Regions from separate parts of the Mus musculus genome. Here all the other regions are reported to be linked to region 4. The links are microRNA targets in miRTarBase. Many come from high-throughput screens and were not tested one by one. Region 4 holds a microRNA gene; each other region holds the end of a gene's coding sequence.

The links. The annotated mature microRNA mmu-miR-883b-5p reads UACUGAGAAUGGGUAGCAGUCA and lies in region 4 at 909-930, opposite strand. An mRNA with a match to its seed (bases 2 to 7 or 8) in the 3' UTR can be bound and repressed. Matches are read on the target gene's strand: a 7mer-m8 pairs with bases 2 to 8, a 7mer-A1 pairs with bases 2 to 7 and ends in A, and an 8mer does both.
Region 1: the mRNA of Ankra2 is a reported target of mmu-miR-883b-5p. Seed matches in the 3' UTR shown: 7mer-m8 at 2,134-2,140.
Region 2: the mRNA of Ryr2 is a reported target of mmu-miR-883b-5p. Seed matches in the 3' UTR shown: 7mer-m8 at 2,603-2,609.
Region 3: the mRNA of Mdga2 is a reported target of mmu-miR-883b-5p. Seed matches in the 3' UTR shown: 7mer-m8 at 2,992-2,998.

The regions. Positions count from the first base shown.
Region 1 is chr13:98,272,498-98,275,676 of GRCm38, reverse strand. It overlaps Ankra2 (ankyrin repeat, family A (RFXANK-like), 2), which reads right to left. Exons shown (of 8, transcript NM_001271388.1): 8 at 1,759-2,905. The coding sequence ends at 2,793. Among named protein-coding and RNA genes, the nearest start is that of Gm21976, 5.7 kb to the left of the region's middle.
Region 2 is chr13:11,551,843-11,555,026 of GRCm38, forward strand. It overlaps Ryr2 (ryanodine receptor 2, cardiac), which reads right to left. Exons shown (of 105, transcript NM_023868.2): 105 at 1,261-2,769. The coding sequence ends at 2,674. Among named protein-coding and RNA genes, the nearest start is that of Ryr2, 550 kb to the right of the region's middle.
Region 3 is chr12:66,468,607-66,471,790 of GRCm38, reverse strand. Mdga2 (MAM domain containing glycosylphosphatidylinositol anchor 2) reads left to right here. Exons shown (of 17, transcript NM_001193266.1): 17 at 188-3,184. The coding sequence ends at 276. Among named protein-coding and RNA genes, the nearest start is that of Rpl10l, 190 kb to the right of the region's middle.
Region 4 is chrX:66,789,028-66,792,211 of GRCm38, forward strand. It overlaps Mir883b (microRNA 883b), which reads right to left and starts at 940; the gene lies at 863-940.

The sequences.
Region 1 (3,179 bases), not on the chromosome of region 4:
GTACTTAATACATTTGCTTGGCATAAGTCATCAGTTTGTATAAGGCCTCCTGGTCCTCCTTTCAACAACATCTTGCCATTTGGGACCCTTATTCCTGCTGGTTTGGGTCGTTCATCTAGTTAAATTGCTGTATGAATGTAGACATTCAGGCCGAGGGTCAGTGAGATGGCTCAGCAAGTAAGGTCATTTATTGTCACGCCTGAGGGTCTGACTGAGTTCAATCCCTAGAACCTATACTATGGGAGGAGAGATTCCTGTGTGTCTCTGAGCTCCACACGTTCAAACACGAGCTCGCCCACGCAAACTGAACAAAACCAGACTCGTGATGAAGAATGTTAACAAAGGAGGCATGTTCTTTCAGTGCTCAAAAGGAAGAGGCCATCCAGAGCCACACACAGTGAGATCTCTGGGCCAGTGAGTGGCCTTTGCACTTGAATGAGCAGCTCTGTGGATGTGCTAAGCAGCCTCCGACTCGATGCTGATGCATATACAATAGGCTGACAGCCCTCAGTCTAGGGGAGCTGCTTTTCCGAGTTCAATTGATTACCAAGTAATAAGGTGCCAGATCTAATGACTTCTCATTGGTTACCATGTTGATTTCTATCAGTGGAAGGGTTATGCTATGTTGTGGGAAGTGCGGAGAACCTGTGCTCACAGACAAGCACTATGGGTCAGCTGGAATGGTCAACACACAGGATTGTTCTCTCAAAGGAAGGGCTACATCTCCAGCTATCCACTTAGGAGGCTGGGAAGACACACACATGGTTAATAAAATGACCTGGTGACATTTTGCACTATCCTTCTCCTTTTCCAGACCTGTATGTGAGCTTGTCCATCTATAGAACCTACAGAAGGTGTCGCGTGTAGCCATCTATAGAACGCATCTTTATAGAAGATGTCACATATACTTTACAAAGAGTCTGAAGTCATGGCTTAAGCTTTATTTTGCATGTGGATTGAATTATCACCAAGAAAGTTTTCAACAAATTGTGCTGTGCTTAAATATGCCTAAAATAAACTACTTGGGGTCAGACTCTCGAAGTTTGAACCAACACTGGCTACTTAGTCATGCTGAACTGAACTGAATTGCCTTCTTGCCTCTTGAGTATATTGCTGCTCTGCTGGTCAAAGTGACTGTAGAGAGCCCACCCTACCCTGCAGTGTGTGGTCCTGTCAGACAAAACCCACTTGCATAGAGCAGCATTACCTGTAACATAGCGCTTTAAAATTTTACGTGTATGAGTATTCGTCTGCATGTTTGTATGGGCACCACACGCATGCAGAAGATTGCTGGGTCCTCTAGAACTGGAGTTATAGATCAGTGAGCTGCCATGGAGGTGCTGGGACCCCAACCCCACTCCTGCAAGAGCAGCCGCGCTCAAGCACCAGGGCACCTTTCCTGCTCCCCTTACTTCTCTTTTTCTCGTGTTCCCCAGATCGAGGCTATACGGTTTACCACTGATATAACGGCCATTTTTCAGATGAATTTACCTCAGTCAACCCTCACAGTTCTTCAATTCCTCTCTAGTCCATGGTTCCCTCTTCTGGATTTTAGTAAGAGGCAAGTTAATGACATTCCTCTAGCAGGGTTAAAGAGCAGCTCGCTTCTCTTTTACGACTTTCCTTCTCAAGCCTACTTGTAAGAGAAAAACACTCTAAGTGTACTTCTAGAGATGGGCGTCTTTGTTGATCAATTTGCATAACAGAAACTTAAACTGAAAATCCTGAAGACATCTGTGACAAGCATATAATCAGAGCTAGAATGCAAACAGACAAAGTATTTTATTTAGACATGATTTTGTAAACCATCACACTGTACTTTTTAATTCCACAAGAACATTATTTCCCTCCCACACACTTACAGTAAGCCCTGTGCAAAGTCAAAAGAGTGAATACAAGAGTAAAGACAAACAAGTTGGAGTTTCCTTAAAGTGTCAAATTGTGCTACTTGATACAAAGACTCACAACCACCTGTACCATAAAAGGTTACATGCCACAAAACATTAATTAATAATTTTAATATATAGTAAAACACATTTATTTAAAAAACCATCAGGATTAATTTTATTATAAACAAGTGAATTATCCAGAGGAATATTTATTAAAACTCACTAAAACCCAGCAAATATTGCAACTGAGATAAAAATGTATACCCAAACAAAACTATAAAAATTTACATGTAAACAAAACTATCATTAAGGACCAAGGAGTGAGGGAGGGCAGAGGGCGTTTCCCGAGTCTCCTCACTCCCTGATGTTCTGAAGGAGTTTCAGCAGATGGGACTCGATGGCCTGTTGGACTACGTCAGTAAGTAAGGGTAAGTCAGTAAGCTCACCACACAGAGACACAAGAGCAAGCACACAAAAGTCACTGCGTCAGCTCAACCGAGCCCTGGGATTCTGTACAATGAAGCTATTTCTGTTAGGACTGATTGTCGCCATCTGAGGACAATGTGCGACAGCTACCCTTGACATTAAGGCTGCTTCTAATTCAGCCGCTGCCCGAGCTTCCGAGTTTTCTGAACTGAGCTTTTATTACACAGTGCAATGCTGTTATATAATTTTTTAATGAAAACATTTTTGAAAATCTTGCAAACACTGTCCACTTTTCTTCCAGTAACTATCTGAGTTTATGGAAAAGTACAATAAGTGAACTCCGCCCTTCGCTTTACGGGGTCTGTTTACTTGGCACTTCATTAAAGCCTATGTCTGGAGTTAGAATACTACAGTGTTTTATGCATGAAAGCAATGAAGACGGTTTGGAGCACTGGCATTCCTATATATGATGCTTTCCTAAAATGACCCGAGAGTTCTAAAATACTCACCACCTCTGTAGCCCAAAGCTACAGCTAGGTCCATAGAATTATAGCCAGAGTCTGTTTCAATTGTTGGGTCAGCTCCATTTTCTGTAACAAAACAGCAAAACCTATATAAATAAAATGAAAACGTGTATGTCCGTCTACCCCAGGCTCATATGTGAATGGTTGGACAGAGCTTCAGCCAACATGCTCTTACAAAGCACTGAGTGCATGGGATCCACAGAGTTCACATTCATGGGCTGAAGGAGAGATACCCAAGTATCCCTAGAGTAGCTGATCGTCATTAAACCACCAGACACAACGTACACATGAAGACACTGCGTACAGAGAACACAACAGTGGAGTCAAAGGTGACCCCACA
Region 2 (3,184 bases), not on the chromosome of region 4:
TCGTGTCCAGTACTCAATCATAGGGATGAGAAAAATACCTCACAGGATCACATCTCCTGAGTTCGCCTCAGGCAGCCTAGAGAATCAGAGAGGTAGAGTCACACTGTGTTTGAGATTCCCTGAATATTTCCTAGGCAAATAAATAATGCTGATAAGGTTGAATTCCTTTTGTCTCTTTTAGACAGTCTCCCCCATCACAGGCTGACCTTGAACTCACTTGTGTAGCGTAAGGCCAGCCCTGGGCTTCCACCATGGTGTTGAAATTACAGGCATTGCACCCCTATAGTGATTTTACCATCTTCTGTTGGATGGTCTCCCAGTGATGTCCTGCTGTGTTGGTCAATAGTGATTGGACAGGTATGACTTGCACAAATAGCCCACCTGTGTTTTTACTTTTCTTCCAACACTGATGTGTTTGCAACACCCATTGGCTAACAGAACCCTCATTTCACCAATTCCAATGTCTCTTTTCCTGATATTTCTATCACCTCTGAGGAGCTGTCAGTCAGTAAAGTGCACAGATCTTGACAAATCTATGACTTTATTTCCTTTTTTTCTTACCTTTACTATTGTTTTGTGTCTACCACAATGTGGGCATTATAAATAGAAGATCTGAATCTAACTTCCAAATTTGTCTCAAATAAGAATGGTACAGGGATTCATGTTCTTTGATGTGTTAGAGAGCTGACCAGATCTACTGGCTCAGACTCTTTATGACATAAGGTCCCATTTCTGAGAAGGCTTGGTAGCAATATCTACAGTGTGCCAAGATTTATCTCTTCCCTCAAATAAAAGTGACTCCAAAAGAGAAACACAAAAGCCAGGTTCTGGAGCTCTGGTGATGTGATAAGACATAATTGAACAGATGATAACTGATAGCCCTGATGATCTAGCATCATCTCTGTGTTTTATGAACTACTTATTTATGGTCTACTTCTCTTTCCTATTAAGATATTAAGTGGGTTGTAATTATTATGGAAAAGTTCACTTGCCTGAGCAAGGAAGAGTTCTTTAAAGTGAAAGTTGTATGAAAATTTTAAAAGTGGGAAGAGAGTTAGTTGTCATTGAATTACCCCATAAGATAGAAAAGGGTCAAGGTGCCTGGTGAACCCAGCTCTCCTGTTACAAATACTGCTATGTTTGTCTGACTGTGAAGTGTCTGGGTTTGTCCTATACACAATTAAACTGAATTAAAAGCATGGGATTCTATAATTTCCTGGTATATGTGAAATAGGAAGACATAGGAGAAGAACAAGGAAGTTAGTTAAATAGTTTAATTAGAGCCGTTTTACAATTCTAAAATTAACAAGCAGACTTGTAATAAAAGATCTCCAATGTTCGCAGAATGACCTCGCTTCCATTCTGAACCTGTCTTTTTTTAATTGTAAAGATTAGAATTACATTTAAAAGGACTCAAAATGATAAAAAGAAAAGAAAAAAGAAAAACATAAAATGAATCGATGTACATGGTCACCCATGTCTTATGATGCAACCAATGAAATCTCTGAATGGATATTGCTTCAGCTTGGATATCAAAAGATGGCCTGTCAAGGCGTCCTTAACCAATGACTGATCACAGGTGGCCAAAAGAAAGAGGAAAACCCAAGACTACTGTCACATTGGCGATGGTTCCAACTGTCGGTGGATGACACTGACTCCAGAAATATGAGGAAGCCCACAGCTTTGTTACTACGGATGTAATTATCACGAAAGTTCTCCCATGTGGATCAACTTGTTTCTGAGGGCTTTCTTTGTTCATTTAAACTTGCATAATAAACATGCAATGAATTATTTCTTTTGAAAGTTGTATTTTTGCAGTCTCTTTTTTCATACAAAGATTTCATAAGTTGCCATGTAGCATCAGAGTCTTTACCAAAGTGGGGAGGGTAAATGTGACGTAGCTGGATGACAAGAGCCTCCTTCTGTCCTGAGACACACCACCCTTCTTTTGAAAATAGCGCAGATAGCTTTTCTTACCCTCCTCCACCAAAGAAAAGAATAAAAGGGGAGAAAAAAGAAAGAAACCAAAATCACAAAACCATTTTATCTAAGAAAACAAGGTTGATGTAAAGAAAATAAAGGTGTTTGTCATGCACATTATCTTCTGCATAGCTCAACCCACTTATAGTAAGGCACTATTTCCCTTTGCATGGCAACCTGTTAAGTGCTACAGTGCTCTATGACCCTCAGACACTTCCTTCTGGGATGGCAAAATAAAGAGCCTGGGTGAGTGTGACTGCCGTGCTTGGCTGCACAGGTCTGGCAGCTTGTGGAGACTCCATGACCCTTCAGGGGAAGCTGTCCATGGGTGTTATGGTAGAGTATCCATGATGAATTCCTTTCCAGAGTTCCTGGTTAGTCTGAATGCTTATTTGGATTGTTCTTCGGTCTTTGTTTCTCAATGAAGATACATGAGGTGGGGGGAGAACAGTCAGGTCCTCTGAGACTGAGCATCCGTGCATCAGCACAAGATGCTGGTTAGTGGAAAATATGAGTAGGTGTTTCCAAGGTGGGGGGGGAGAGGGAGGGAGGGAGGGAGGGAGGGGGAGAGAGAGAGAGAGAGAGAGAGAGAGAGAGAGAGAGAGAGAGAGAGAGAGGAGAGACTGAGATAGAGAGAGAGAGAGATTGAGAGAGAGATTGCTTTTGGTTTTCAGAGACAATCAAGGTATGATGCTAATTTAACTGGTCTTCATACTGTTTCCGGAAACAGTCCCCTGCTGGGAAAAATTCCCAACACCTCTCTTGGTACATCTTCCAGACGTAAGATTCCTGTAAAAAAGAGAAAATAAGTGTGTTAACCCAGTGTCCAAAATCTATTAGATAACACAGGACAGAGTAGAAGAAGTCATTCAACCCCATTGATATATCATTAAAACAAGAAAAGTCCCATTGCATTCAGATAGCCCCACTTAAATTACCATCACTAATAAATGATCTTCAAATAAACAGAATGTCTTTAGCTTGACCAATATATGATAACAACATATTTTTAAGTCTCTAAGGTTTACATTTATTATGATTTTTAATTTTATCCAAGTTCAAACTATTATCCATTTATAGTGAGTAACCCAGAAGGGGAATTTCAAATTTTCCTAAAAAAACATAGACATTGAATGTTTTTTTCCCAATTATAATTTTGTAAGTGGAAGTTTATTTGAAAGTATAAGCCACACAATAGCCACAA
Region 3 (3,184 bases), not on the chromosome of region 4:
TGCACATCCAGGCTGTTTCCGCCTTCTGCTTGCCTGAAAGTTAAAGCTGCTATCTGATGTAAAACGTAGTTTTACAAATTTGCTTTCCATGAATAAAGTTCTTTAGGCACAGAAGCGCCATGAACGCCCACCTGGGATGTTTGTGACCTTAATGTCAGTTTTGGATACTTATCTTCTTTATCTCTAGATTCCGTGGATGGTGCTGTTGGGATCTTAGTTCATATATGGCTTTTTCCAGTTATCATCCTCATCTCTATCTTAAGCCCTCGAAGGTGACCTTATCCTGGCAGAGGCTATAAATGATTCACCAGGCACTGGCATGAAGAAAGAGTCTTTGTAAATGGACACTGAAAAAACAAACTACCAAAGATTCCTCCACTGACTACTGACTCAAAAATTAAATAATAAAAACAACATTTTTTTAAGCACTGGGGATTAAAAAAAAAGACATCATGGAAATATAACTTATTCCAAACTACATATAGAAGATATTCTTGGCCTGGGTACAAAAGAGCCCTTCAGGTGCTTTTGTGGCTAAAATGATTACAGCTTCATCTGGTTGAACTCTGGAAAAAGAAAATAAAAGAAAAAGAAAGAATGAGAGAAAAAGAAGAAGAAAAAGAGCTATAGAAATCCTCGTCAAAGCACAAAGTCATGGCTGGTTTTGTTTCAAATGAATAGTTTGCTTGTTACCATGGAAACCTAATGGCCTGCCAACAAAAACCTCACTGTAAACAGGGTACGTGGAGAGCTGGCATTTATTTTCCTTTCAAGAAGGTTTTATGTAGAGAATTAAATAAATGTAGGCCCTTTTACCTTTGGCTGTTACCCTTCCTTGAAAATACTCCAAACTCGGAATTATTTAAAGGTTTCATATCCCTCCCCGCCTTATCCCACCCCACTTTTACTGTTGTTTGGGTTTTGTTCTTGTTGTTCTTGTTGTTCTTGTTGTTGTTACTGTTTGTTGTAGTTCTTTTCTTTTTCCTTTTTTCTTTCTTTTTTCTCCCTCACATGGCTAAGCTAGATAACTGTATGATGTCTCTTTTTGCATGCACTACTATCCAGGATGGTAAACCTGGGCTTACATATTACACAGGCTTATCGGAGTTTGCTTGCGGCCACTTGACACCCAAACTACGTCATCTGTTCCTATGAAGAAACCAAACCACCATCTTTTATAAATTGCCATGGAAACCAAGTGCCTTCAATGAAACAAGCCTGAATAATTTTCAACTCAGAAGCTTGCACTGCTAACAATGGTTTGTGTAAAACTATTTTGTAAACAGACGACACAGCCTAAATGTGCAAATTACAGGCAAGACACCCTAGCCGCTTCTGAAGAAGAAAGGACCCACGCTGCTGCGTAAACCCATGCAGATTATGTGTTTCACCTCCTAGACAGCCATGGCCTTTTGGCTTAATGTCCATAGAAAGTAACTTCCATTGAGACCAGACATGGGAGCAACACTTTTTTCTTCCAGGTTATTAAATGGGTCAACCAGAGCAAAAGGTTGTTGAGATAATACTTAGCGCAGAAGGTGGTAAAACACAGAAGTGATTTTTTTTTACTCTAACCTCCATTTCAAATGAGATTGGCTTTGCCTTTAGAGGGAACGAGGAAATGTTTGAGATTGCCGTGCATACAAACTCTGCCGCGGAACTGGGCCTGAAAACAATCTGGCTTTATTCTAAACACTGAGGGTAATATGCCTCTGCCCTTTAGTCAGACTCTGTGCAAATTGTGAAATATTATTTTATTATTTTAACAAGATTAAAAAAAACACTTTTACAAAAAAACAAAAACCTGTAAAAATGATTTTGAGCTACCTGAGGACAAACCATAACTTTAACCAGCCAGTTTTCCAATGCATTGTAAATTTCACTTAAACCTGTTGGTTATGACAATTTGAAGATCTTTTTCCTTAAATTATCTCAGCTTTTAACTTCATTTAAAAAGACTTTTGTCTAAAGAAGAATATTATTATTATCTGTTCTTTCAACACCCCAGGATTTAAAAAAAAATTACTGATTATGCAAGTAATTGGGATCTAAGTATTAAATTGCAGCATTTGCAAATATTAATATAAAAAGCACAACAAAAATGTAGTGGAAATGACAAAGCTTGATTTTTTTAAAAACAACTGTAGAAATGTTTGTGCAAATTCAATAATTCAACTTAAAATATAATTTTACAGCTCTGTTCAATAAAGCCTCTTTCCGGGTGAGGAGCGATAAGCGGTATGTGTGTTTGTTGGGCAATATTTACTTATCATTACAATGAGATTAGTTATGCAATTTATTGGTTATATTATCTTGGGATAAATCATCAGTGCTTCATACACACTTGATGTCTGCAGGAACAAATTTTAAAGAACATACAACACATTCTCTTTTATTTGTTAAACACATAAGTAAAAAAATGTTGTACTCTGTAGGTAAAATGCAAACCGACATGCAAGTTAAAATTTATTGTTAAATTTCATAGTCGGGTCAAAAGGGGACATATCAGAATACCAACATAGTGATAGAATCAATATGACCCAAGTCCCTTAACTCACACAAAGGAAGTAAATGATTATCGTCATTTATTTGAATTAATTAGTCATATTGAAATTAAAAATTTTTTTCAAAGTCATCCATCTATTCTATCAAACCAAAGATTTGCAGCAGGTGATAACTGGGCACTTAGCATGGGAAAGATCTGCATTCACCTGCATTTCCAGCATACAGCCACCCACCCCAGTTCTGTGCTCCCCAAGATGAGTAAAACACACGTTTATTTTATTAGGTCTTTTTTCATTCTCTCTGCCAGGACACTGATATGTGTCTCCTGTTTAAAGAGAGCCTCTATTTGTCATCTTCTTTCAATTGCCTTTAAGCTGATTTGCGTGAGGCTTTTGTAAATGAACTTAAAATGGAAAAACCCCTTAAATGTTGAATTTTGGAAGGTACACATGTCATGTCAAGAAAACTCACAGGGTTTTTTTTCCTTCTCAGTTTTTCCAAGCAAAGAAGCTGTTGTGAGTGAAAGTTTCAATTGTATCATTAAGCATTTATCAAACGTTAAAGTAGTTCCTAAATTTCCACATAGTAAGAGAACACACTCCAGAAGTTAAAGAGAACTGGCTGGTACTCCAAAATTAATTTTTATTAAACATCTAAGAAGTTGCAGATGGTTGTGAAG
Region 4 (3,184 bases):
GGACTATAGCAAAGTCTGTAGGTGATTATTTCAGTTGTTAATTGCATGAGGAAGATCTACCCTGAACACAGATGGCACTATTTCGTAGGCTCAGCTCTGGATTAGGGCTGGAAAGAGATAGGTTAGATAGGAGAGAAAGTTAGAAAACTTCCTGTTCATGTATTAGACACAGTTTTGGTACCTAGCATCTATACTAGGTAGTTTGCTACTGCCTACAACTTAAGATTTAAGAGATTCAACATTTCTTCTAGCTTCTGAAGCCACCATCATGCCCGTGATACATATAAATATATGCAGGAACATAAATATTCATAAAATAAAAGTAAATAAAGGAATTTTTCAAAAAGGGATAGAAACTATCTGACTATTAAGCAAGCAAGGATGTATTTATTCTTTGTTCTTGACTGTGGATGTGATATGACAAAGTCCTTGAGTTCTTGCCTTGAATTCTCCAGAAAGGTTAACTAGAACCTAGAATCATGAGCTGAGATAAATCCTTTCCCTGCTAAATTTCTTTTTTGTCAGGATACTTTATCACTATAACATAAATTAAATTAAAAACACATTCTAATCTTATTTCCTGAGACTCAGAGAGTAACTAATTACTGTTCTTCACTACACATTCTTCTCATAGCATTCCCTACTTCCAAGACTTCAAACTCATTATTATGTTATTATTTTCCATATTAATATATCTTAAGATGTTTCATATTCATATAACACTAGAATTAAAATTATGAAAGCAACAACAAATCTATCATGGGGATGTCTGTTTTAAAGTGACTGCAATGTATCTTGAAATCAAGAAACTCATCCACTGTGTGAAGACTATGTCCATGTGGCTACCACCCTTGTATTTGTTGAACCTTACAATACTGAGAGATGTTGCAGTTACTCATAGTACAAAGTGACTGCTACCCATTCTCAGTAATGCATTGCACACAGAATATTGAGTGAGGAAATTAAGTCTGAAAGAATTAAAAGATATTACAATTTTTTGGACTATCAAGTATACATATATAATAAATTTCTTTCTTCACAATTAAGATAAGAGCAATTATAATCTTCTTTACCTCCATTTAGCTTTCTGAAGCAAGTGATTTATAAACCATTCACATGACTTTTTATTACATTACATTGATATAATATAGTTTATACTTTATATTCTCATGATATGAATAACTGAAAACACAAAGACTACCTAGGTCATTAGATACAAAAGGTTTACATATGGAAAAAACGATTTCAACATTACCTACAGAAATGAAATCATCACTATCCCAAAGACAGATCAAGTGAGGAATATAGTCTTCTTGACTTGAAGGAGATAGGTATTTGTTATAGTCACTTAAAATCTTACAAGCACAATGTATTACAATACCTGTAAGTTACAAAGATATTCCGAAGACCCTAAGATTCAACCACTCCATATTTTTTCCTCTAAGCATTTCCTTTAACACTTGTTCCACTGAATTTTTGTCAAAACCAGAGAGATGAGATTGATTTCATTTTGGTTTTTTACATTATATGTGCTTAGCTTATACTCACTGATTAGTGCAACTCACAGTTCTGATGAAAAGTTGTTTTCTCTTTGTCTCTGTCTCTCTCGATAGGGTTTCTCTGTGTAGCATGGGCTATACTGGAACTCACTCTGTAGGCCAGGCTAGCCTCAAACTCAGAAATATGCCTGCCTCTGCCCACCCCCCAACCAGCCCCCAAATGCTGGGATTAAAGGCATGCACTGCCCAGCAAAAGTTTTTTGTTTTTGTTTTTTAAATAAGACAAAAGGCTATTTTATAAAGAATCACAACTTGTCAAAGTGTAAACTACTGTCTTTTGTACATGATAAGGCTGTTTCACCAACACACTTTCAACAGTTAATGGTTGCTCGTACAAGATTTGCAAAAGACTGATTGAGGAAGGGTCCATAATTCCCATATCTAGTTCAGGCTGCTAAGGGAGAGCTAGTATTTTTTTAAGGATAAGTCCCCTGATCAGTTAGGTGCCCATTCCCAAGTGGTAAGTATGGTCTAAATTATGTACGTGTGCATGAAGGTAATCCCTGCCTCGGGTTTCAGGGATCACATGAAGACAGACATTTGGTGTTTTTTACTCGTTAGAACCATACTGAGGTTAGAGGCATGAGAAACTAAATGCCAGGTAGCTTACACTGTACCACTGGCATATTCTACCATTCTTGTCTCTTGAAGTAATAGGCCACATGAAACTTTATGCCTAGCAACTGGCGTCTAGGTGCAGATTCTTGTTCCTGAGATCATAGGCTGTTCCCAGAGGAAACATGAACTCATTGAAGAATCATTCATCAAGTATCTTCACGACTGAATTTCATATAGTCGCTGAGGCAAGATGAGCTAAACTGAGAAAACACTAAATATAATCCAACTGCCCAGTTAAATATAAATCCAAGAATTATATTTTTACCTTCAAGATGCTACAATAAGTTCATGAGGAATATGGTGAGCATTTTTTTCATCTAGAGAAGAAGTACTTACATCTATTTCTCATGAAGGAATCCAACATAGATGGAATGCCATTGATGTGAAACTTCATGTTAAATTGCAGAAACTTCATTATTAAAATCGTTGCCTTCAGATATCCCATCATTATTTGTAAAACAAGATATTTATACCTTGATTTGATTTAATTGTAAGTTCTAGAGAATAATAAACTCATATCCCTACACCATTCATCTTTCTGAAAGCAGGTTTTTTTACCTGTACAATCTTCAGATGAATGCTTGTCAATACCAAGAACAAAAGCTTGATCATGTTTTCCTTTCTGGAATTATAACCATGGTCATGTCTTTTGCCTTGTTTAATTGTCCTTGTGCCAATTTAGTTTTTCTTAGCTTGACTTTATTAACAGGTCAGATCCAAGAGACCAACAAACCAATAGACAACTGGTTTCCTCCCAAAGTTCAAAGTAAAACCCTATTCTAGAAGGCACCTCACATTTCAGAAACAGGATTTGGAAGAATAAAGATGATATTGGCCTAGACTTTTTCTCTGAGGACTGGCTTTCATGATATCAGAAGTTTCAATGCAAGCTGCCAAGGTAAAGGAACAATTGGAAGTCTTACTCAGGTTTAGAGCCTGCTACAGAAGAACAAACTAGTCACATCTGTCAGAAGAAAGTGAAAAATCAACAAAATCTACCCCAGATA